Arabidopsis thaliana: one gene and its partners. The protein of the gene in region 3 purifies or fractionates together with the protein of the main gene of each other region. This does not show direct contact. Each region holds a gene or a part of one and is shown on either strand. Other genes may lie near its edges. The genes, in order: EMB2770, AT5G22320 and AT1G71350.

Region 1 (9,045 bases), on a different chromosome or scaffold from region 3:
TAATTCAACCTCAAGTTACAAAGAATATATAACAAAACACGAAAAATCAATTAGTTGTTTTTGTAGAGGTATAATAAAATCGATCTCTATAGTGTTTTTTTTTTACTTGACACAAGAATTTTAAAAATACACTTATTGCATAACATATATTATGATGTTATTGATAATCACTTTACCAAACGGTAAAAAACGTTACAAAATATAAAGTTTTGACAGTTACTAATCACAAAAGTGTTATCAAAAATTCTATTTTTAGTTTTTTTCACAGCTTTCTTGTAGTATAATTTTTTTTATATATTGTTGCAGTATTCTGAAAAAGCTTACAGCTATAGCTAAGAGCTATTAGTTACCAATATTGTAAAAGGTATAAATTGTTGATTTATTCTGAAAATTATAATTTTTTATAAGATTTTTGTATATTTGAATATCGATTTAAAATTTAGAAAATTAGAATTAAATAGATTAACAAAATTGAAAAGACTTGTTATAAAATGGAAAAGAAAAGTGGGACCTCTGAAGACAAAAATGTCAAACATGTGACGGAGAAAAATCAAAGAACGTGGACCTTAGATTAGATTTGTAAATTGACTTGATGGAGTGTTCAGTGTTTGGTCCCTCCACCGATTTTTCTAGACACCTTCTAACTCTTTTTTGTTTACTTAAATGGAATGAATCATTTCCTAACAAATTATTTAAGTGGTCGGCACATTTCATTTTCGCGTAATAAATAGTGTACATTAATTTCAGACCAAAAATATATTACTATTATCATTACTTGCAAACAGAAACAATCTAAGAAAGTGATGTTTTTGGGTTTCTTCTCGACCTGAATTCACGTTGTCGATGTGCTGAGGACTGGATTTTCCGTTGTTTATTTGACGTCGACCAGTTTTTTTGCTTTATTTTTACACTTCATATTAGGGGGCGGGCATTCGGGTAAAGCGGGTCGGGTTCGGGTAAAATCCGATCGGGTATGCGTCTTTCAAGTAGAGAAGTTTAGGAGTTAATAGGGTAAATCTAAAATATCGGTTCGGTTTCGGTTCGGATCCAATCGGGTTCGCATGGGTTCATGTATAGATTTTTGGAGCCTCTTTTGGAACCTATACCCGAATTTTCGGGTAAATAGCCAGATTTTTTGGTAAAATTTTGGGTATCGAATAAAATTCAGATTTTCGATTAAAATATTCGGATATTTTCGGGTTCGGATTCGGTTTTTCGGGTAAAAAAATATAGGATTCAATAGAATAATTCTTCGGGTTTGGGTTCGAATCAGATCAAATTTTTCAGATCGATTTTGGTTCGGTTCATCGGTTCCGGTTTTTTTGCCCGCCCTTACTTCATATCTAATTAATTTTATATACAATGTAATTAATCTGTTAGCAGTAAAGAGTAAGTACTGACTTAGAGGAAATGATCACATGTGCATTTTGCACAGATTCCGTAACAAAACTTACCTATATTTTACGACTCAAGAACATTAAACAGAACCAAAACAACATCTTATATTAAAAAAAAAAAACGTTAAACCAACTACACTTGAATTTCTTTTTATTCTTCATCATAAATGAATTGGATTGTTGGGCCAATTAAATACATTATCGTGTTCGGCTACCGATCACAGTTTTATGTAACACTCACGAGGAGATATGATTTGTTTAAGAAGATGGTTTAGATGATGTCTTATCTAATTAACATCAACTATAAACCTCTAACCATACCACAGAAATAACAAGAGCACAAAAGTCTAACATATAAGATATTTTGATAAAGTAATTAAAATGTTCAACAACCAACTAGGCACGGACATTTGATGGTACCAAAGTCAAATATGCGGTTCGTATATATCCACTTACTTTATATTTTGCTATTTAGCTCCACATTCGCATTATACATTTAACCAACGATAACGTTATCTATTTGTGTTAATCTTTTGGAAAAAATGTTAACGAACATGTTCTTGTCCCCATCATCATATGATGATGATTGCAAACCTAATATTGCATTTTTATTTTATTTTGCCTTTTGTTATGTTTTTTGGTAGCACTTTTGGGTCCATATTTTGGACACGTTGTCGCCATGTGTTCTCCAAAAGAACAATACATAATAAATTTGGATAATGGTATAACTAGTCTTTAGAAACTAGATATAGATGAGGTGATTAGTTGTGATATGCTAATTGCTAAATACAGCCTATTGTGGTCCGCTTTTGGTAAACCAAACAGATTGTCTTTGATTTGGTCCTCTTTTTTTTTTTTTTTAGTGCGGTCTGTTCTGATCGGAGTTGATCCTGATTATGGCAGTCACAATGTTCTGAGGGAACTTCCTCAACGCCAATTATTATACACTTGAAAGCTGACCAAATACTGGAAATGCAGGAGTTTCACAGACGGCCATCACGAGGAAACTGGTCTCACTTTCAGTTCTCTCTTATCTTCGGTTGAATCGAAACTAATGGACTGTCCACACAATATATCCTGTTGTTTCTCATGCCTCACCAGAGGTACTCGGCAAAAGACTAGAACAAATCAACCTTTGTACTTGCAAACTAGTTTTACCCAACAATAAAACAAATTGCAGTGTTACCACAGGATGAGAGCGACCAAAAGGTTCTCAAAGTCAAGGGTCTACTGAAGATAGGAAAACAAGTCGCCTTTGTTTGAGAATCAGCTCTCCAAAAGAAGGCAAATAAACTAGTTGGTTGATTTTAACAGGCAAGAGGTTTATTAGTATTAAGGCTAAAAAGGTTACCAATATCTTCTTCTAAGAATTACTATCACAGCTAGTGTTAATGGACAAAGAACTCTAAAAACTGTGTCAGGGGTTAGTTTTCTTACACTGTCTAAAGAAGCGTTGGGAGTGTGGGTTTCATGACTTGCCCACGCACCAATCTTAGTCACCAGGCAGACAAAAGCTCCCTAAGGATGAAGGCTAAGGCATGAAACGAACAACAAATGATCAGTTATACAAATAACAAAAGAAGTTTAATAGCTGAACACTGCAGCACACAGAGACTCACAAAGAAAACTGAAGCATTTAGTAAACTGAGAATTCTACATGTATCTGGTGAAACACTCCTGTAAATCAATATCAGGTCTCGCTACTGAAGAAAAACATGAATGGTTAAAAGTTGAGCCTGCAAAGAGAAAACAAGAACTAAGGTGTAATGTGCTATGAGCAGAGCTTGATCATGAAAAACATAAGAAAATTGATACTCTCAAGCAGAATTCTCTTCCTTGCTCAACGCATTCACAACTCTCTTCAAGATAACTTCAATAGGCTGGTGAGCATTTTCAACCGCTTTGGAGATGGCTTGCCATTTCTCGCCATGCTTCGGCTCACAAGCTACACACTTCGCCACAACTTCCTTCCTGTCCTCATCAGAGCCATGTTGAAGTTCAAATTTGTAGAACAACGCCCAGAAATCGCCAATATCTGGGCCAACGGTAACAGCACGTTCAAACCATGCTCTGGCTTTCTCCACCTTCTTGTCTTGCCAAAAGAGCTTGGCAACAGCTATGGTGACATGAGGGTCGCGATCACACTTCTTCATAGCATCAATACTCTTTGTTTTCCGTCGAGGACGTGGCGCCATCTCAATGTCCGCAGCCCAGAGGATACCACTCTTGGGACAGTCTTGCAGAGCCTTTGACATCAAGTGCTCTGCTTCTCTCTTGTTGTCATGCCTCAGTTCAGCGCGAATAGCAGCTAACCATAGCTCAGCCCCCCCAGGATTCTTCTTCCTGGCCGTGGTGAGAATAGCCCGAGCTTTGTTTAGCCCATTCACTTTCTCTTCAAGATCAGCGAGTGAGAGCCACAGTGGTATGCAGTGGGGACAGTGCTTCAAACCAGTGTCATAAGCTTTCCTGGCCTGTTCTAGATGCTTGAACCGTTCCTCGAGCTGCCCAAGCATTAACCAAAGCTTGAAGAATGTTGGGAATTGCTTCAAACCTTCATTAAGCAATCTCCTCTCCTCCTCTACGTTGCCAAGTTCTCTCTCAACAATGGCTGATTTCATCCAGACCCTTTCAGTCCCTCCTCTTTCCCTTGCTTTTGCAAGCAGCATTCTTGCCCTCTCCGGCTCCTTGTTCTCAAACTCAAGCTTGAAAGCAGCAAGCCAGATTTCCTCAGAGTTGGGAATTGCAGCATAAGCCTCTTGTAGAATAGCACGGGCTGCTGGAACATCTCCAGCGAGCCACTTCTCTTTGGCACCCATGAGCCAGAGAACCTCAGCTTGCGGGACATATGTTACAGCCTTACGCAACAAGGCATCAAGGGACTCCCGACTCCCATGGCTCTTCTCAAGCTGCGCCGCTTTAAGCCAGATACTTTTCTTGGTCAAGAATACACTAAGAGCATGGGCGTATATTGCTCTTGCGGTCTCAATGGAACCCCTCTTCTTGCACTCATCTGCATCAGCAACCCAAGTTCTCTTTCTATCCTCTTCTTCCACTCCAATACCTATTGTGTTCTTAATAATGGCCTGGCATGTAGCGACAGATCCAACTCTCTCACATGCCTCAGCCTCACTCATCCAATTTTCTCGGTCAATAACAACCCCTTCTCTCTGGAGAGTCTTTATACCCCTATCAATAATCTTTCCCACCATAGCCGTGTTATCATTAGCTTCATCTAGCTTCCCATTAGCTTCTTCTAACTTAGCAGCGGTGATCCAAATTGCAGGCTCCTTTGGGAGCTTCTCTCTCGCTTTGTTCAACACCTTCTTTGATTCAGCATATGTTTCGAGCCTCGCAAGTGCCACCCATAGCTCCAGATGCAAAGGGCAGCACTCCACAGCCCTGTGAAGCAAAATCCTTGCATCCTCCTCATTAGCCAACTCAACAACAGCCTTCCATAGTCTTACAGAGTCTGGAATATGTTCCAGTCCCTTTCTCAACACCCTACTCTTGTTCTCCACATCATGCTCCAGCTTTGCAGCCTCCAACCATAGCTTCACTGAATTGGGTATCAGCTTAACTCCCTTCGCAATAACCCCCTTGGCATCTTCTGGATTAGCTAACCTACAAGCTTCAAGCCAAACATCCTCATTTTTCGGGCACTCTTCGCAGCCCCTCTGAATCTGAAACCTAGCTGCTTTAATCTTCCCATCCACCTCCTCCACTCTAGCAGCAGCAATCCAGCCATTTGGATTCTTTGGATTCGACTGGGTCAGACTCTTGTATAACAATCTAGCTCTATTGCGATCGTATATCTCTTCATCAGTGGTTCTTTTCATACTCTTCAGGTCAGTTAAGTAGCCTTTAGGATCCACTACAGTTTGCCCCGAAACTGAATCTGATAGGTTATCAAGCTTCAGAGACAACACCGTACCTCTTCCCTCACCGACAGCAGTCAAGTCTGTCACCGGCGTCTGCCCCCATGGTGTCTCCGACCCACCAGCGGCTCTGCTCTTTGGGTCTAAGGCCATGACAAGCTCCTTTTCTTTCTTCGCCTTCTCCAAAAGCGTATCAGGAATAGGCACAAAGCTCTCAAACTTCTTCTTCTTGTTCCTCAGCGAGTAATCCCCAATCTCAGGAATACTATCCCACTCATCCGCAGACAAAGTGTGTAATTTCCTCTTCAAATCCGCAAACTGCTCAGTAATCTTAGGGTTCGAGGCTCGGTATTTCTCGATTTCTTCCTTCAGCTTCGCTTCTCTCCGATCTTTCCTCCTCGAATCCATCCTCTGATCAATAGACTCCCAGATGGCATCAGCCTCTTTATCATCCTCATCGTACTCAGCATTAGCGAACAAACCAACATCATTCCCTTCAAACTCATCAAACGTCTGATTCTCATCGTACCTTTTCTCCTCAGCTTCTTCATCGTCCTCCGCTTCCGCTTCACTTGGCTTCCCTGCTCCACGACCTACTCCTGGAGCAGCCGCTGTAGCCAAAGCAGACCGATCAGGAAGATCCGGAGCAGCACGAGCAGGACCAATATCAGATCGAGTAGTAAACCCAGTAGCACCACGACCCAAACCCGCTACATAATTTGACGGAGGCTTAGAATTGAGGAAATCAAGACGAGGCTTCGGCGGAGCCGCTTGCATACCACCCAAAAGCAGGACATGGATAATCACAGTAGAGAAACGAGAAACACCGAGATCGGACAATAAGATCGAATCGGAATCCTTTGAATCTACAAACACGCGGCTAGGGTTTCGCATACGGAGAGAGTAACGAAGGAAAGATTGTGGAACATCACTACGTTGGTGGGCCAATTGTTCGAAGGCGGAGATGGTGGTTGAATTAGGGTTCACGTCGATCGATAAAGTCTTCCCGTTTGGAATCGAGAGAAACACCATCGTAACCTAATCGAGATTCTCCGGTCAAAGAAACCAAACTATAAAAATCTCTGCTGTTACAACGAATATAAAGGGTGGAAAAAAAATAGTCGGTTCAGAGGTAAAGGCGGTGGGATATGTAGTGGGCTTTTTAATGGGCTTTTTGAACTTCATATTGTAAAACCACCGTTAGTATAATTCGAGCTTTTCATAAAGCGACACCGTATATGACTATCTCTGTGTGTTTTGGTTTTAAACGACGTCGTTTGCATGGCTTTGGGAAAAAAATTAAATGACTAAATATTGCGGTGAGCGTGGATCGAACACGCGACCTTCAGATCTTCAGTCTGACGCTCTCCCAACTGAGCTATCCCCGCTTCATGTAACACAATCAATGAGTAAAAGATATATAGAAAGAAAATAAAAACGAAAAGACAACGTAATGCGGTGAGCGTGGATCGAGATCTTCAGTCTGACGCTCTCCCAACTGAGCTATCCCCGCTTACTGACTCTTTCCAAACCAACGTAATAAATTACTAGTTATGAAAACAACAACTGAATCAAATAGATAAGAAGACATCCTTTCGTCTTTTTTGTTTCAATCACACGGACCAGAGCCAGAGGTGTGATATGTTTCAGCATCTTCTTCATCAACAAACCATAATAGCATTCGGAGAGGATATCCGTTGCCCAGTGACAACGACCAAAGCCAGGAATATATGGGACAGTGTAATAGGCAAGAAGAAAATAGAGCACAAAATAAAATACGCGCTGAATATCTATATATACATTTTTGCAGCAATTTTGTGAAATAAATCTTATAGTTGGGACTTATTTACAATAGCTGCCACTGGATTTTAATGTTTGTTTTTGATAATTAGAAAAAAAATCTTCAAATTAAATATTTGACATTTAACAATCTTCCCTAAATCTCTCCACATTAACTACACGATTAGTTACTAAAATAAAACTTTCAAAATATTTAATATCATTTATTTACTACAAAATTATCATTTTTGATATTGTTTTTCTCCATGACTATAACAATTTAATTATAATCGTCAAATCGCAGAGATATTTGATAGCATTTAATTATTACAAAATTACAAAATATTTAGACAATAATTCATAAACATATCATAAATAAGATTAACATTAATAAAATAAATGTTTTTTTTATGGGACGGGTTGGCGGGACGGGTTTGGCAGGACGTTACTTAATAACAATTGTAAACTATAAAATAAAAATATTTATAGATAGATACAATTTGCAAACTTTTATGTATACTAACTTTAAAAAATAAATTGTTTCCGCGGTGTACCGCGGGTTAAAATCTAGTATTTAGTGAAGAACGAAAAAAAATAACTAGTATATCACTTGTTGTAGCGAGCACGCCAAAATAGAATGCGACCTACATGGAGTTTAGAGCCAAAGACAGAAATGGAAAGGCAAACTGAAAGGCTTTGTGGCCGAGTTCTGGATCACCCAGCAAAGCCCAAATAAGAACAAGTATTGCTACAATAAGTTAACCAACAACCAAGTCCTGAACTGCTTAGCCGCCTCTAAGAACATAGCTCAAGATTAAAAAGAAATGGCAAGCCAAGAACATAGACTACCTCAAAACCAGGTATGAGCTGGAAACAAACCAAAAGTCTGACAATTTACATGGCACGAGATTTTCCTTAATAAAACAAGAAGCTGGAAATTGACTTAGTGCAGATTCTTTTAGTCATTGTTGCTGTTGTGAGTTGTGACCAGCGGCCGAAAGCGAAAGGAAATGGTGGCAGCAAAAGATGTGTTGAAGTGAGGGTTGGGTAAAAAAAACTTAGGTACTGAAATAATGATCACCAGCAAAACAACAAGAGGTCATTTTGACTATCTGTCAACTACAATCACAGTGATCAAACTGGACCTAGCTAATTATGATACAATCTGTATGTGTCTCTTGGGAATCAAACCTCAGTTTGATCGACAAAGCATCAAAATGAAGCACTTTTTTCTTTAAATAGAGAAACAGGACAATTCAACCCAAAGTGCGGAAATAAAATGAAACAGAATTGCATATATAACAACAACGGAATCAAACACTTACATTTCCCACTATTTGTTGCAATGCAAAGAACGTTCTAACCAAGCTTGTTAAGCAGGTGTTTTGAATCTGGACAATGTTTTAGAGTCTCTTTGACAATTCTGATATGGCCATTCGTTGCTGCCAAATGAGTGGAAAGGGTCCATCATTGTTTCACACGTAAACACTCTTCGTTAATCGTACTAACAGGTTACATACTCCTTTATAAAACCCTATGGATGCTCCAATTGAAAGAGAATTTATCCCTTCTTCACATCACTCATCCCCAAGACTTGGATCTGTATAAATTAGCCCACATGCAAATATTTAGTCTTCTGTCCCAAACTAGTCAAACAAACTAAACAGAGCTACTAATTGGTAAGAAGCAAAACAAACTTCTACTCTTGGCCTTCAAAGCCACGTGTACAAAATCAAAGTTCGTCTTTCTTCCTTCATTGCTTGTAGTTCTCAACTTTGATACCACGAGTGGGACATTGCCAGCTTCCACTGCCAAATACAAGGGAGATATTCCAACTTTACTCGCAAGAAATGAAGCACATTGGTTCACATTTACCAGACATGCAGCTATCTCCACATGGCGACCTGTCAAGGCCAAATGCATAGCAGTATCTCCGTCCTTCAGATCATATAGATTCAGTCTCAACCTCTCTAAAACAGAATAGCTGAAGATAT
Region 2 (6,840 bases), on a different chromosome or scaffold from region 3:
ACGTGCCATTGGTCTACGTATCAAGGAAACCAAAGAAGTCTATGAAGGGGAGGTGTGTTGCTATTTGCGGTTTCTTTTGCTGTGTTCTTATGCAATAGCATGTCTCGCTAATTGGTTTTTGACATGTTGTCCTTGTGTTCTAGGTCACCGAGCTGTCACCAGAAGAAACTGAAAGCCTCACTGGAGGTTATGGTAAAAGCATCAGCCATGTTGTAATTACACTCAAGACAGTCAAAGGAACCAAACATCTGAAATTGGATCCCACTATCTATGATGCCTTGATTAAGGAAAAGGTCAGTTCTTGGCATGCGATGCTATGCTTTGGATGTGGTATTTTCCCCTAAGTTTTTGCTTTTCAGTTTGTTCCAAAACCTGCTTTTCTTTTCACCTTTTTGGTTTTCTAACGATGTCATTCTGTGGGGACAATTGTGTATGAATTTGCTGATTACTTTGTCATTCTGATTGGTTTCTTTTTATATTTTTGCTGTTTGCCTCTCAGGTAGCTGTAGGAGATGTAATCTATATCGAAGCAAACAGTGGAGCTGTCAAACGGGTAGGTAGAAGTGATGCTTTTGCCACTGAATTTGATCTGGAAGCAGAAGAATATGTTCCACTTCCCAAAGGAGAGGTCCACAAAAAGAAAGAGATAGTGCAGGTTTACCTTCTTTGACCTCTCCCTTCTGTGTAGAGTAATTATTTTCTTTGTTGATTTATTATCTGTTATGTATTAGTTTGTATGTGTATTAACCTTAGTTCCTAAGTTTATTAAGACTACTTGTTACTCAACTAGACCATATACTTTTGACTGATAGGATGTCACACTCCAAGATCTGGATGCAGCAAATGCTCGACCTCAAGGTGGCCAGGATATACTTTCTTTGATGGGCCAAATGATGAAACCGCGGAAGACTGAGATCACTGATAAGCTTCGGCAAGAAATTAACAAGGTGATTTTCGCTAGTACATGGGTGATTTTTTTAAGCATCTTACTTTCTCTTTTGCAAGGTCTAATATTTTTATATGCCATTGTAGGTTGTGAACCGATATATAGATGAAGGTGTGGCAGAGCTTGTTCCAGGAGTTCTATTTATTGATGAGGTATTTTCCCAAATAAAGTTTTTTTTCATTCCACTATTGATCTTGCTCAGGACTCAGGAGCAGTAAGAATACCTTTGTTTAATTATAAAACCTCAGGTTCATATGCTTGATATGGAGTGCTTCTCATACTTGAACCGTGCTCTTGAGAGCTCATTATCTCCGATAGTGATATTTGCAACAAATAGAGGTGTTTGCAACGTAAGGTGAGAAGAGCGCTAGACCTTGATAGACATTTTCCTTTGGAAATCTTGTGAGTTTTTGTTAACTTGGTACTGTGATTTACTTTATTTGCAGAGGGACTGATATGCCCAGCCCCCATGGAGTCCCTATTGATCTATTAGATCGATTGGTTATCATCCGGACTCAAATCTATGATCCCTCTGAAATGATCCAGGTTACTCAATTGTCATTTAGCTTTTGGATTTCAATTACTACGAACAACATTCTAATAGATTTATCATTTTGTTCACAGATTATAGCCATTCGTGCGCAAGTTGAAGAATTAACCGTGGATGAAGAATGCTTGGTTCTACTTGGGGAGATTGGGCAAAGAACTTCACTAAGGTACTGTCATCATTGCTTTTCTAAGCAAAATTTCTGTTCGTGAATCTAAATACTAAAACCTTTTTTGTGCTTTCACTCTCAGGCACGCTGTGCAGCTTCTGTCTCCTGCCAGCATTGTAGCGAAAATGAATGGCCGTGACAATATTTGCAAGGTAGATTTACTTGTGAAATCTTAGAACAATAAAACAAATGTAAAATATGTGGATGTTATGTTATTAATCCTTCATCTTAAATTTTGACAGGCTGATATAGAGGAAGTAACATCACTCTACTTGGATGCTAAATCTTCAGCAAAGCTTTTGCATGAGCAACAAGAAAAATACATCTCATGAGAAGAACACTAATCGCACATTTTGTTGAAACATCTCATAATTTTTCTGTCGTTTTATTTTGTAATGTCGGAATATGGAGAATGTCTAATGGGATTACAATTTGGTTTCTCTGAATTCATTTATTTATGTGCTATTTTTTTGTTTGTGGTGCTAACTAATGAAAACTGAAATATGGTTTCACGTGTATACACATACATGGTCGTGAGATTCAAACTTTTGGTTTCATATTGAGTTCCCTTGTTACATTACAATACACTTATTCAAGATCAAACTGTTTGTGGAACATAACATTGTGTAATTGTCTATTTGGTTACTGTTAAAAGTTGATGTTGCGCCAAAAAGAAAGAAAAAAAACTCTATTATCAGAACAGAGTCAGCAGAGTCGGAGATTATAAAACTTGAGGATCAAAGTGGGAGGAGTACCATAAGAGGGTGTCCCTGATCCGTACAATAATAACAAGGTCAAATGTATAAACAATAGAAAACTGTGGGGTTTTTGGGTAAAGACTTATCACGGTTGGGAACAGAGACAATCTTTTGAATAAGGTGAAACCAAAAGACTAGGGTTTTGTGTGACAAGGAAGAAGACGAAGACGGCGATGAATTCGTTAACCGTTGAACAAGTATTGAAAGAGAAGAAGACCAATGACCCAGATTCCGTCAAGGAACTTAATCTCGGCCATAAAGCTCTCACCGACGTGAGTATTGTTTCTGTTCTGAAACTCTGTTCCCAAGTAGAAATTGATACGAAACCCTAATTGTTTAATTGTATATTTAGGTGTCTTGTTTGAGCAAGTTCAAAAACTTGGAAAAGCTTGATCTTCGTTTCAACAATCTAACAGATCTTCAGGTTGATTGATACATAAATCTCATTTTATAAGCATAAATAGCATCCAAAGTTTTGATTTTTAAGTTGCTAGAGCTTATTATATGTTGATGTGTTAATTGGTTTTTAGGGACTCAAGTCTTGTGTGAACTTGAAATGGCTTTCAGTTGTGGAAAACAAATTGCAAAGCTTAAATGGAATTGAAGCACTCACTAAGCTTACGGTTAGTTCCACTGATATCACTGAGCTTGTTTCTTTGAGATTTGTATCACTTACCAATAGTGAGGTTCTCCAGGATTAAGCTTTGTTTTGACAGAAAACGAGTTAATATGTGTGCTTTATTTGACTGTGTGATGTTGTTTTCTATCAGGTGCTTAATGCTGGAAAGAATAAGCTCAAATCCATGAATGAGATCTCTTCTCTTGTCAATTTACGGGCCTTGATCTTGAATGGTAAGTTGTCAACGGTTTTATGTCTTTGCATCCACAAGCTACTGTTTGATTACTTACTCGTTATTGTTTCACTTGTTGTAGACAATGAAATCTCCTCCATTTGCAAGCTTGATTTACTCAAAGACTTGAACAGTCTCGGTATGTTCTTTTACATCAAAATCAACATGTTACTGTTTAGATGTTACACCTAATTTCATTCTACTTAAATGTGTATGGATTCATTCATGCAGTTCTTTCTAGGAACCCAATCAGTGAAATAGGTGACTCACTTTCAAAGTTGAAAAACCTCTCCAAAGTAAGCTCTTGTTTTCCTCCCGTTTCGGAATCACAACTAAACTGATCCTTGTCTAATCCCATCTCGGTTTCAGATTTCTTTGTCTGACTGCAGAATAAAAGCTATTGGCTCTTCTCTCAAGTCATGCTCTGATTTGAAAGAGCTGCGGCTCGCGAACAATGAAATCAAGGTGATCTTTCTTACATTTATGCAATCTACAGAACAAACCTGCCTCTTCTCACAATCTTTTGTTTATATTGCTAATCGTTATTTCATTTACGCTTAACTGTTCAGGCTCTCCCAGCAGAACTAGCAGTCAACAAAAGACTACTCAATTTGGATGTGGGAAACAATGTGATTACGCAACTCTCTGGTTTAGAGGTATAGTCTAATTCATATAGGTGAAAGCAAATTTGTTAGCCTTCCCTAGCTTGTGGCAAGTTTTTGTGGTGATCGTGTAATAAACCATCAAATTTGTGTGCTCCCAAATGATAGGTTTTGGGTACACTATCTTGCTTGCGAAATCTGAATATTCGAGGAAACCCGATTTCTGATAACGATAAGTCAGCTAAGAAGGTAAAACAACTTTTTCTACTTCTTTTTTCCATTGTGATTAGTGTAACTGCGTGAAGAAATCGTATAAGAATGAGGAAAATTGTTTTGATGTCGCAGGTGAGAACGTTGCTTCTCCCTTCAGTGAATGTATTCAACGCTCAACCCTTAGAAAAAAGCTCAAGGAATGCAAAGCATATTCGGCTTGATACCGATGATGAAACCTTTGATGCCTATCACAATAAATCAGCAGAAGAGGAACAATCTAAAGAAGATCGAAAACGCAAGAAGAGCTCTAAGAGAAATAAGTCAGAAGAAGAAGAAGTCAACAATGAGGATCACAAAAGCAAGAAGAAGAAGTCTAAGAGCAACACAAATGTAGATCAAGTTGAAACAAAAAAGAAAGAAGAACATAAAGAGAAGACAATCCCAAGTAACAATGATGATGATGATGATGCTGAGAAGAAACAGAAAAGGGCTACTCCAAAGGAGGAACTCGATGCTATAGATGATGCTGAAACCTCTTTCGCAGAAATCTTTTCCCGGGAAAATGTGCCAAAGGGTTCTGAAGACGGTATTGAGAAGAAGAAGAAAAGCAGCGTCCAAGAGACAGGTTTAGTAAAAGTGATAGATACTAAAGCTAACAAGAAGAAGAAGAAGAGTGAAAAGAAGCAAAGCAAGAGTGTAGTGATTGATCTTCCCATGGAGGTTGAGATCGGGTTAGGAGGAGAGTCTAAGTGGGAGTAAACTGCAACAGAGGGAGTGTTTTACTCTTTAAAAGAAGGGACAGTTATGTCTGTAACATCCAACGGCTAGGGAGTATTTTGATATGGTTAAAGAACATAGGAGAGGAAGAAAGTGGTTTCGATCTTCTTTATAAATTGTTTTCTGCACTGTTGAGAAGCTATATCTAATTTTATAAAATGTTTGTGTCATTGAAACCAAAACAAAAAAAGGAGAATAGGTCCCACCGAGACTTGAACTCGGGTTACTGGATTCAGAGTCCAATGTCCTGACCACTAGACCATGGGACCATTCTATTCACGCTTTAATATTTGTTATTTTTATTGTGTTAGTTTCTAGTGTGTAATAAAAAAGAGAAATAAAATGATACAAGCTAAATGCTAGGAAAAATGTGGAAACACTAGTTTGGACAATGAGAAGTTTGAATTTTGATTTCAGAAAAGAAAACTAAATTAATTTTAGTGCAGACTATTCCGATTAGGTGTAAATGTGGTCTACATTTGTGATATATTATGAAGACGTAGAGAAGAGTTAGAAATTTTTGTCATCTTCTTTTGTTTCCTATGTTTGTTTTGTAATGCTAATGTTAAAACCGATTTGCTAGTTCAAAATGTCCGTATCTACCCGTATTGAATGTATGTAATTACCCATAGTATGTATTGTATATTGTAAACGATATTTTTTTAGTTTAGCTTATTTGACAAAAAAGAACGTCGTTTTTAAAGTAGAGTTTAGATTGCTGCTGCAAGAGTAGTTAGTATATTGAATAAAAGTATAGTGATATGACATTTTTGTCAAATTCTCCATGTGATATGTGAGTAGTAGTCAAAGACTCAAAGGAATAAAAGAGAAACAGACTAGAACTCTTTTTAATCTGAACCGTTCATCTATGTTGTATTTTTCTTCTATCATCGTGGCACTTCTCTAGTCTTCACACATTTTAAAATTCTTTTTTACTCGTATTAATTTATTTTTAAATTAGTAATATGTTAAATTATTTGTAATGGAGTTAAAAGAATCTGGAGGATGGATTTGATTTGACTGGCAGAGAAGGCATCTATCTCTTTGGGATGTTCCATAAGTATTTACTATTATTTGTACTCAGCATGTGCCTGTCTTTCATAATTCATATGCCAATCACAAAACTTGTGTTCAAATTAGTATAGAGACAATCATTGGTTTTGAGTTGTGAATTATGATTGGATAGTAGTAATCGTTAAGGCATCTAGGAAATTTTATGTCTGATTTACATTCAAAAAATCCTATATGTTTTAGAGCAGCAATATTTTTTTTTATGAATCCAAAAATCTAAAACCATGTATTCATTGTGTAACTATGATTGTTTAATGAGAGATTTTTAGCAATGATTGAACATCTACTATATATATTAGTGTCAAAATTGTCAAAGTTTCGATGTGCGACAATTCCAATAACTTATAACAACTGTCTGTAAAATTTTAGTGTATTGATCTTAATACCTACCTCTCTAGACAAAAGCCATAAGTTTATAAACACAATCCTAAAACATAAAATGAAGAACTATTCAATCCTAAACGAAAATGATTTATAATAATTATATTTCTGTTTGTGTTTTTGGATTGTGTATAACAAATATTCGCATTTAAACAAAAATACTATATATTATCTTTCTAAACACTATTCAATCATAATTGAACAATCTGCATGATATAAATCGTCAAAATCAATAAAAACTAATCAATTTTGCATTAAAAATAAAAAAACATCATCTAATTCAATACAATTTTTTTTCCTAAAACATAAGAAAAAAGGAGTATACTTTCTTGGCTCATGTATCTTGCCTTGTCTATGCATATTCATTTATTTCAAAATATGTCACCCATATTCATGTTTGTTGAAAACAATGCTACTTTATAGTAGTACGTAGTACGTTGTCTTTAACTCTTTTGACGTTCATATTATTTCCCAAAAAAAAAATACTAATCAAAAACGAAATGAGTCGGGTCTTAATCCGATCAA
Region 3 (7,164 bases):
TGATGCAACATCACTAGAGTCTACCTCTGTTCATTCTAATCCTGGATTGAGTTCGGATGTTGATATAGCTGCAGCCGGAGAAAGTAAAGGCTCAGAAACCATCTTGAAGCAATTAGAAGTCGATAACACAATCGTTATCGTAGGAAATGTTACAGAAAGCAAAGACAACGTGCCTATGAAGCAAAGTGAGATAAATAATAACACAGTTCCAGGGAATGATACAGAGACCACTGGTTCAAAGCTTGATCAGCTATCTCGTGCTGTTCCGCTTGGCCTTGATGAGTTCAAGAGCAGAGCGTCCAATTCTAGAGACAAATCTTTGTCAGGCCAAGTAACTGGCGTTATTCATAGGATGGAGCCTGGTGGGAAAGAGTACAATTATGCAGCTGCTTCAAAAGGTGCAAAGGTCTTATCTTCTAACAAGGAAGCAAAAGGAGCTTCAAGCATCATATGCCGGGACAAAGACAAGTATCTCCGAAACCCGTGTTCTACTGAAGGGAAGTTCGTTGTCATAGAACTTTCAGAAGAAACGTTGGTGAACACAATCAAGATTGCAAATTTCGAGCATTACTCTTCCAATCTGAAGGATTTTGAGATTTTGGGGACCTTGGTTTACCCAACTGATACGTGGGTTCATCTAGGGAATTTCACGGCTTTAAACATGAAGCACGAGCAGAACTTTACATTTGCAGATCCCAAATGGGTGAGATATCTAAAGCTAAACTTGCTAAGCCATTACGGTTCAGAATTCTACTGCACCTTGAGTTTACTAGAAGTCTATGGAGTGGACGCTGTGGAGCGAATGCTGGAGGATTTGATATCTATCCAAGACAAGAACATATTGAAACTCCAAGAAGGAGACACTGAGCAGAAAGAGAAGAAGACAATGCAAGCAAAAGAGTCCTTCGAAAGCGATGAAGACAAGAGTAAACAGAAGGAGAAGGAACAAGAAGCCTCACCAGAGAATGCGGTTGTGAAAGATGAAGTATCACTTGAGAAAAGAAAGCTGCCAGATCCGGTGGAAGAGATAAAACATCAACCAGGAAGCAGAATGCCGGGGGACACTGTCTTGAAGATACTGATGCAGAAGATAAGGTCGCTGGACGTGAGCTTATCAGTTCTTGAGAGTTACTTGGAGGAACGGAGCTTGAAATACGGGATGATATTCAAGGAGATGGACCTGGAGGCGAGCAAGAGAGAGAAGGAGGTGGAGACTATGAGACTAGAGGTAGAAGGAATGAAGGAGAGGGAAGAGAATACGAAGAAAGAGGCGATGGAGATGAGAAAGTGGCGGATGAGAGTGGAGACAGAGCTTGAGAAGGCTGAGAATGAGAAAGAGAAAGTGAAGGAGAGGTTAGAGCAAGTGTTGGAAAGACTGGAGTGGATGGAGAAGAAAGGTGTGGTTGTGTTCACAATCTGTGTCGGGTTTGGGACTATAGCAGTTGTAGCCGTGGTTTTTGGTATGGGGATAGTTCGAGCAGAGAAGCAAGGTGGCTTGGCTTGGCTTCTGTTATTGATAAGCTCCACATTCGTTATGTTCATTTTGTCACTTTGATGAGAGAAGAGTTCTCAGTTTTGGTCTTTCTTTTTGTTTTCTAGTTTTTTTCTTACTGTAGAGTTAGCTGAGTCTTCTTTATACCCAATAAAACTATAGAAGTTACCTAGATAAGTTATGATGTGCCTATGAGGTTTCAAATACAAGAGTTTTGTCCGGTTCAATGGAAAAAACTCTTATCAAATCAAAGCTTATACGTAGAAAGAGTTTTCATTGCAGAAAGTTGATTTACAAACAAAACTATTATTCACAGAAAACATTTTCTTATGACCAAAATAATTATAAACATTTTCTTTCAATAATTAACCCTAGCTTCGTCATTGCCACAGAGCAAAGATAGTTTTAAAATTCGAATCCAATCAACCTCTTATACCAATCTCTCACATGTCATCTCCTACTCTTCATAGTTCATCCAAAGTGGGGTTATTTGTCAACGTAACTTCAGCATAAAACTGAGCTTTATACTAGAGAGAAATAAAGTTAGCTATAATCATTTATAAACTGAAGATTGATGGAGGTTTATTAATGGTTAATAAACCTTTCCAAAAATAGGCGTATGCCGCTAAGAACAGAGAAGACACGGTATTCTTTAGTAAAAGGCGAAAGAACAGTTCGCTTTGTCTTCACTGCACAGCTCCGTGACTCTTGAAGGCAAGCTCTCGATCTTTATTTATACTAAAGTTTACTCACTGTTCTCAAGAAATGAGCCGATGTGGGATAGTACAATCAATCAAATTAATTCATGGGTTATTAATAGCAGTATATGGGCCATATCTTGTTTATTTTTAAGCCCATCCCAAAGCCTGGAGGTTTCATCATCTTACAATTCTAGACTGGTTTTGGTGAACCGGTTTGATGAAATTAGAAATTACAATGCAAGAGACACGTGGCAGGCTTAGAAAAATAACCGAAAGCAAAAACAAAAAGGTTTAAGAGAGAGACGACACTAGTCTGGTTTTGGTTCGAGTCCCGCAGTGGTAAAGGGACGACTACAAGCGAACATAATGTTTAAGAAGGCGGTGGAGGCTAAGTCTCACCAGCGTCTCTCCGGCGCTGACCGGAAAAAACTCCGTCGCACCGTCCGAAATAGGCTTCCCCTTCTTACCGATGAACTCCTCGACGCAATTCTTCCTCCCAAGGTTTGATTTCTCTTTTCCCTCAATTTTTGGCATCGTTGTTTTCTCCATAGATTACTAGGTCTTTCTTCTTGTTGTGTAATCTGATTGATTCTAGATTAGATTGCATCGAGTATTGGCTTACTTCTGGCATTGATTGTTTTGTCTAGGTCGAGATTACACTTTCCAAGTTTCAGAATCGAGTTATTGTTTATAGTATTGAAGGTGGATGTCCCATGTTTTTCGATATCGATGGAAGAGGAACTGAGATTTTCCCCACAGTTTTTGCTCTGTGGGAGGCTCCTGAAATGTTACCTTCCTTTATGTTGAAAGGAGGTGAGGTTTCACGTTATATTATAGGCGGTGCAGATTTGATGTTCCCAGGTATTTTGATCCCTCCCCAAGGCTATCCTTCTTTCTCTGCTGGAGAAATATGGGCTGTCAAAGTTCCTGGAAATCTAGCACCTATTGCGGTAAGCTTTTTATGTCTTGTTAACTGATGAATCTTCTTAATGAATGTAAAGTTTGCGTATTGAGTTACATGATGTTTATGAAGGTTGGGTGTACCACAATGAGTAGTGAAGAAGCTCGTAAAGCAGGTTTACGTGGGAAGGCTTTAAGGATAACTCATTATTACCGTGACTTCCTATGGTACATGAGATGCTGGCAAAAGTTTTTTTATATTTTACATCTGTGGAGGAACTCTGTCTCTTACATACTGAATTTGTGTTTCTTAGGGAATCAGCTGAGGGGCATTATGTTCCAAATGCGGGGTTTATGGAGGATGTGGTCATGGAGGACCCATCGTACCTTGCTCCTGGTTCAGGTGAAGATATTTTAGACACTTCTGCAAGCACCGGAAATGAAGAAGATGAATCTGCTCTGGAAACAGCTTCAACATCGGCTGCGGATGCTAAGAATGATGCTGAAGTACATGTCGTTGGGAGCATGAATGAGCTATACTTGGTAGATGATGTATGTGCTACTGAAACTAATACCGACAAGCAGATTACTCTCTCCCCTGAGGAGGTAGATACCCTTCTTGACCAATGTCTTTTGCAAGCATTGCATACAACACTAAAGGAGAAAGACCTTCCCATCCCAGGAAGCACTCTATGGTAAGAACCGCATTCAGATACTTGACTTACTTTGAAAGCCACCTATATTCTGGTATTTGACTATGATTAGGTTGTTTTATTACGCTCTGAAGCTCTATTCTGTGTTACTCTTGACTTTGTCAATAACAAGCAAGACACCTTAAACCATTTTCTTTCTCCTTTCCACGTTTGACTGACATATATTTTTCTGTGAGTGGTGCAGGGCAAATCATGTATTACCTTGTAGGCCTTCTGGTCTCACACTTGACATTAAGAAGTCTTCCCATAAAAAGTTGTCAAAGTGGCTGCAATCTAAAGCGTCTGGTGGAATGGTCAGTTTTCATACGAATTTCCCTTGTCTTATGATACTTTTTTTGGCTTGATTTTATATTTTAGTAGATGTTGTTCGTAGATGTTTAACTGCAAAACCCAACTGGTTTATCAATATAGGAAACTATTAGTATCAAGTGTTGTAAGCTGTATCTCCTTAAAAGTATGTATGTAACACATTGGTATACATTTACCCTGATATACTCATAATTGCTAGTAGATTTACTCTGGTGTCTTGACTGGCAACTGCACTCTGTCACAATCTTTGAAATATATGCGCAGATATCTGTTAAGGAAGACAAGCATAAGAAGGAGATAGTATTGATTTCAGTCAACCGCAGCCACCCAGATTACAAATCCTTCAAGCCAGAGAAAAAGAAAGCGGAAGTCTCCGAGTCTCCTGGAGAGCGCTCCACGGCGCAAGCTCAGTCAGAGAAAGGGCTTGAAATTATAGAGGTCTATAAATCAAGCATACACAATAGTGCAATATTTGCATCAGTTGGGGAAGACAAAGGAAATCTGTACACAGCTTCTGAAGCCACTGACGTTGTGTTCAAATACATTGAGAAGGAAAATCTAGTAAAGCCAACAAACAAATCAATGGTGGTGTTGGATCCGATACTATGTGATGCATTGTTCAAAGGAGCTATCAAAAAGGGATCGGCATATCCGTCAGAGATCCACAAAAAGGATGTTGGGTCGACATTTGTAGGTAGAATGCAGCCTAATCACGTAGTGATGAGAGGAGGCGGTGAACCCGTGGTTCGTAAAGGAGCTGTAAAGCCGGTTCAGATAATGACAGAACGAAGACAAGGTAACAAAAAAGTGACCAAGGTCACAGGGATGGAGACGTTCTTGATAGACCCAGACTCGTTTGGATCAGAACTGCAGAAGAAGTTTGCTTGCAGTACTTCAGTTGGAGAACTTCCAGGTACGTTTAAAATCTATCCTTTTTGTTTTGTTCAGCTGTGTAAGTGAATTAACTATTTGAGAGATGATTGATTGTTTTGTGTGTTTGCTTTCAGGTAAGAAAGGGTACGAGGTTCTGATTCAAGGAGGTGTGATTGATAACCTTGCGAGATATATGGTGGAACACTATGGAGTTCCAAAGAGATACATCGAAGTTCTTGATAAGACTAGAAAGTGAATGGTTTTTTCTATTTCATTTTTTTTTTGTGTGTTTTAATCTTCTAATTTTATTTGATACGTACACTCTGTGACTCTAGAGATGTGGAACAAATGAGAATAAAATTGTTTTGTTATTAGTTTTTTTTTTAATATAACAAAAAAATTAAAGAAAATAATTTATAGTTTGATGGACTTTCTCTCTTTTGTGCAGTTGAGAAAATAAAAGGACTTTCTCTCTCTTCTCTCTCTAGATCTTTTAGAGAGAGGAAGTTTCTGATGCTCAAACTTGGCTCCGACAATAGCCAGCTTTTTTAGTGGTGTTGGTTGGCTTCCTTCTGGCGTCGTTAGCTCCTTTAGCAACGTCGGCTAGCTTTTCTCCGACATCGGTGGTTTCTTTAGCACCGTTGGTCGGCTTCGTTCTTCAAATTTAGTTTTTGCCTTTCAACCTTGTTCGATTCTATTTTGCTTCGGTTTTAATTGGTTTTGATTTCTCTTTCTCTTCATTTCGATCTAAATTTGTAATTTTTCGATCCTCCCTTCTTTAAGGGGCTTAATTTGTTCTTCAAGCTTATTGAGTTTTCATTTTAAAAGATCAAATTTTTAGTTACGGATTGAAGTTTAATTTAGTGTCTTTTGTTTGATTTTGATGAAATTAGAGCTGTTGTTTGTCTTTCTTGTTGCCGATGCTTGTTGAATCGTTTGGGTTTATGTTGTTTTTCCTTTAAATGGCAGAAGTCGAAGTCGATAGTTTGTGAGCTATTTCTTTCTTGAAGGTTTTAAATTTTACAGTCATTGTCACAGAAGATTTGTCAATTGTCTCATCGGATTTGTAGCTGCTTCCGATTTGGCGTTTACAGCAATTCCGGTGAACTTAAGTTTTTTGTGGTTATGATTCTCCACCTGCGACATTCTGCAACTCATCATTTTCTGTTTCCACGTGTCCTCTTTACCGTGTCTCTAGTGCCATGTGGGCTTTGACTTATTAGCACATTAGCTTTCTCTTCTTCAGAAGGTGGTCTTTGGGCTTTTGTCCGTTTATGGCCTGTTATATGGCTTTGTAAAATATGGCTTGTTAAAAGGCTTTGTAATATAAATAATAAAACAGTTGTGACAAAAAAAAAAAAATATATAGTTTGATGGTGATTGGTGAACTTCTTTTTTTTCCAAGATTGCAGTAAACGTCGTCTTTAGCTCCAAAAACAACCTTTGTCTTGTTCAGCTAATGGCGATTTTTGAATGGCGGCACAGAAGACGGCCATTCGACGGCGGAGGAACTCGTCGCCGTCGTTTCTTCAGCCCATTGTATTCGAGAAATTTCAAGAGAACGATTCTCTTCGCTGTGATTTTCTTAGCTATCTTCCCTCCTCTCTACTTCCATTTCAAGCTCCGACGAATTCGTCAGATTGTCGCGCAAAAGTGCGATTGGCTTCACCATCCTCCACTTGTCTGTGCTCACGGCGGCGATTCCACCCTCGCTTTCCCAAACACTGTACGTACACTCTCGATCTCTTCTTCTTCACACTCTTGCTACTAACCTTTTTAAACCTTAATCTCTTGGACTCTTCTCAATCGTAGATGGACGCTTACAGTTTCGCTATACGTTCTCGAGTTGATTGCATTGAAGTCGATGTTTCTCGTTCCTCCGATGGTGTTTTATTCGCTCTTCACAACAGGTTACAGACTCTGATCCTTGTTGTATCATCTTCTTCTAATGTTTCTGTGTTTGGATTCTCATCGGTGTTCTTCTTATTCATCTTCTGATCACACGCACAGTCAGGGATCTGCAGCGTATTGCTCGTAACTCTTCTGTTCAAGTTGGAGATCTGAGTATGAAACAGGTCTCATCTCTCCCTCTCTCTCTTTACCAGCTTTTGGGATATGCTTTTTTGCATCCATTTTTCATAAACCTTTTGATGATCTTTTTGCAGATCAAGGAACT

The links.
Region 1: the proteins of AT1G71350 (region 3) and EMB2770 fractionate together in Arabidopsis thaliana (co-fractionation; one large-scale study listed by BioGRID). This does not show direct contact.
Region 2: the proteins of AT1G71350 (region 3) and AT5G22320 fractionate together in Arabidopsis thaliana (co-fractionation; one large-scale study listed by BioGRID). This does not show direct contact.

The regions. Positions count from the first base shown.
Region 1 is NC_003075.7:1,514,197-1,523,241, forward strand, and holds EMB2770 (pre-mRNA splicing factor-like protein), read right to left. Parts: upstream 6,368-9,045; 5' UTR 6,305-6,367; coding exon 3,215-6,304; 3' UTR 3,017-3,214; exon of another isoform or gene 2,929-3,016; 3' UTR 1,834-2,928; downstream 1-1,833. UniProt on the Arabidopsis thaliana protein: Pre-mRNA splicing factor required for splicing and for the turnover of unstable transcripts. May be a U5 snRNP-associated protein involved in the formation of U4/U6-U5 tri-snRNP. Involved in responses to abiotic stresses.
Region 2 is NC_003076.8:7,386,180-7,393,019, reverse strand, and holds AT5G22320 (Leucine-rich repeat (LRR) family protein), read left to right. Parts: upstream 1-2,406; 5' UTR 2,407-2,593; coding exon 2,594-2,692; intron 2,693-2,772; coding exon 2,773-2,844; intron 2,845-2,950; coding exon 2,951-3,043; intron 3,044-3,190; coding exon 3,191-3,272; intron 3,273-3,353; coding exon 3,354-3,410; intron 3,411-3,502; coding exon 3,503-3,567; intron 3,568-3,640; coding exon 3,641-3,736; intron 3,737-3,840; coding exon 3,841-3,927; intron 3,928-4,041; coding exon 4,042-4,122; intron 4,123-4,218; coding exon 4,219-4,845; 3' UTR 4,846-5,016; downstream 5,017-6,840. Other genes in the region: RIN1 (P-loop containing nucleoside triphosphate hydrolases superfamily protein), read left to right, coding at 1-52, 144-293, 500-655, 813-947, 1,033-1,098, 1,195-1,301, 1,393-1,492, 1,571-1,662 and 2 more.
Region 3 is NC_003070.9:26,886,605-26,893,768, reverse strand, and holds AT1G71350 (eukaryotic translation initiation factor SUI1 family protein), read left to right. Parts: upstream 1-2,484; 5' UTR 2,485-2,559; coding exon 2,560-2,694; intron 2,695-2,840; coding exon 2,841-3,143; intron 3,144-3,226; coding exon 3,227-3,321; intron 3,322-3,407; coding exon 3,408-3,788; intron 3,789-3,990; coding exon 3,991-4,099; intron 4,100-4,379; coding exon 4,380-5,028; intron 5,029-5,122; coding exon 5,123-5,244; 3' UTR 5,245-5,401; downstream 5,402-7,164. Other genes in the region: AT1G71360 (Galactose-binding protein), read left to right, coding at 1-1,555; GDPD4 (PLC-like phosphodiesterases superfamily protein), read left to right, coding at 6,448-6,714, 6,801-6,898, 7,003-7,063, 7,154-7,164.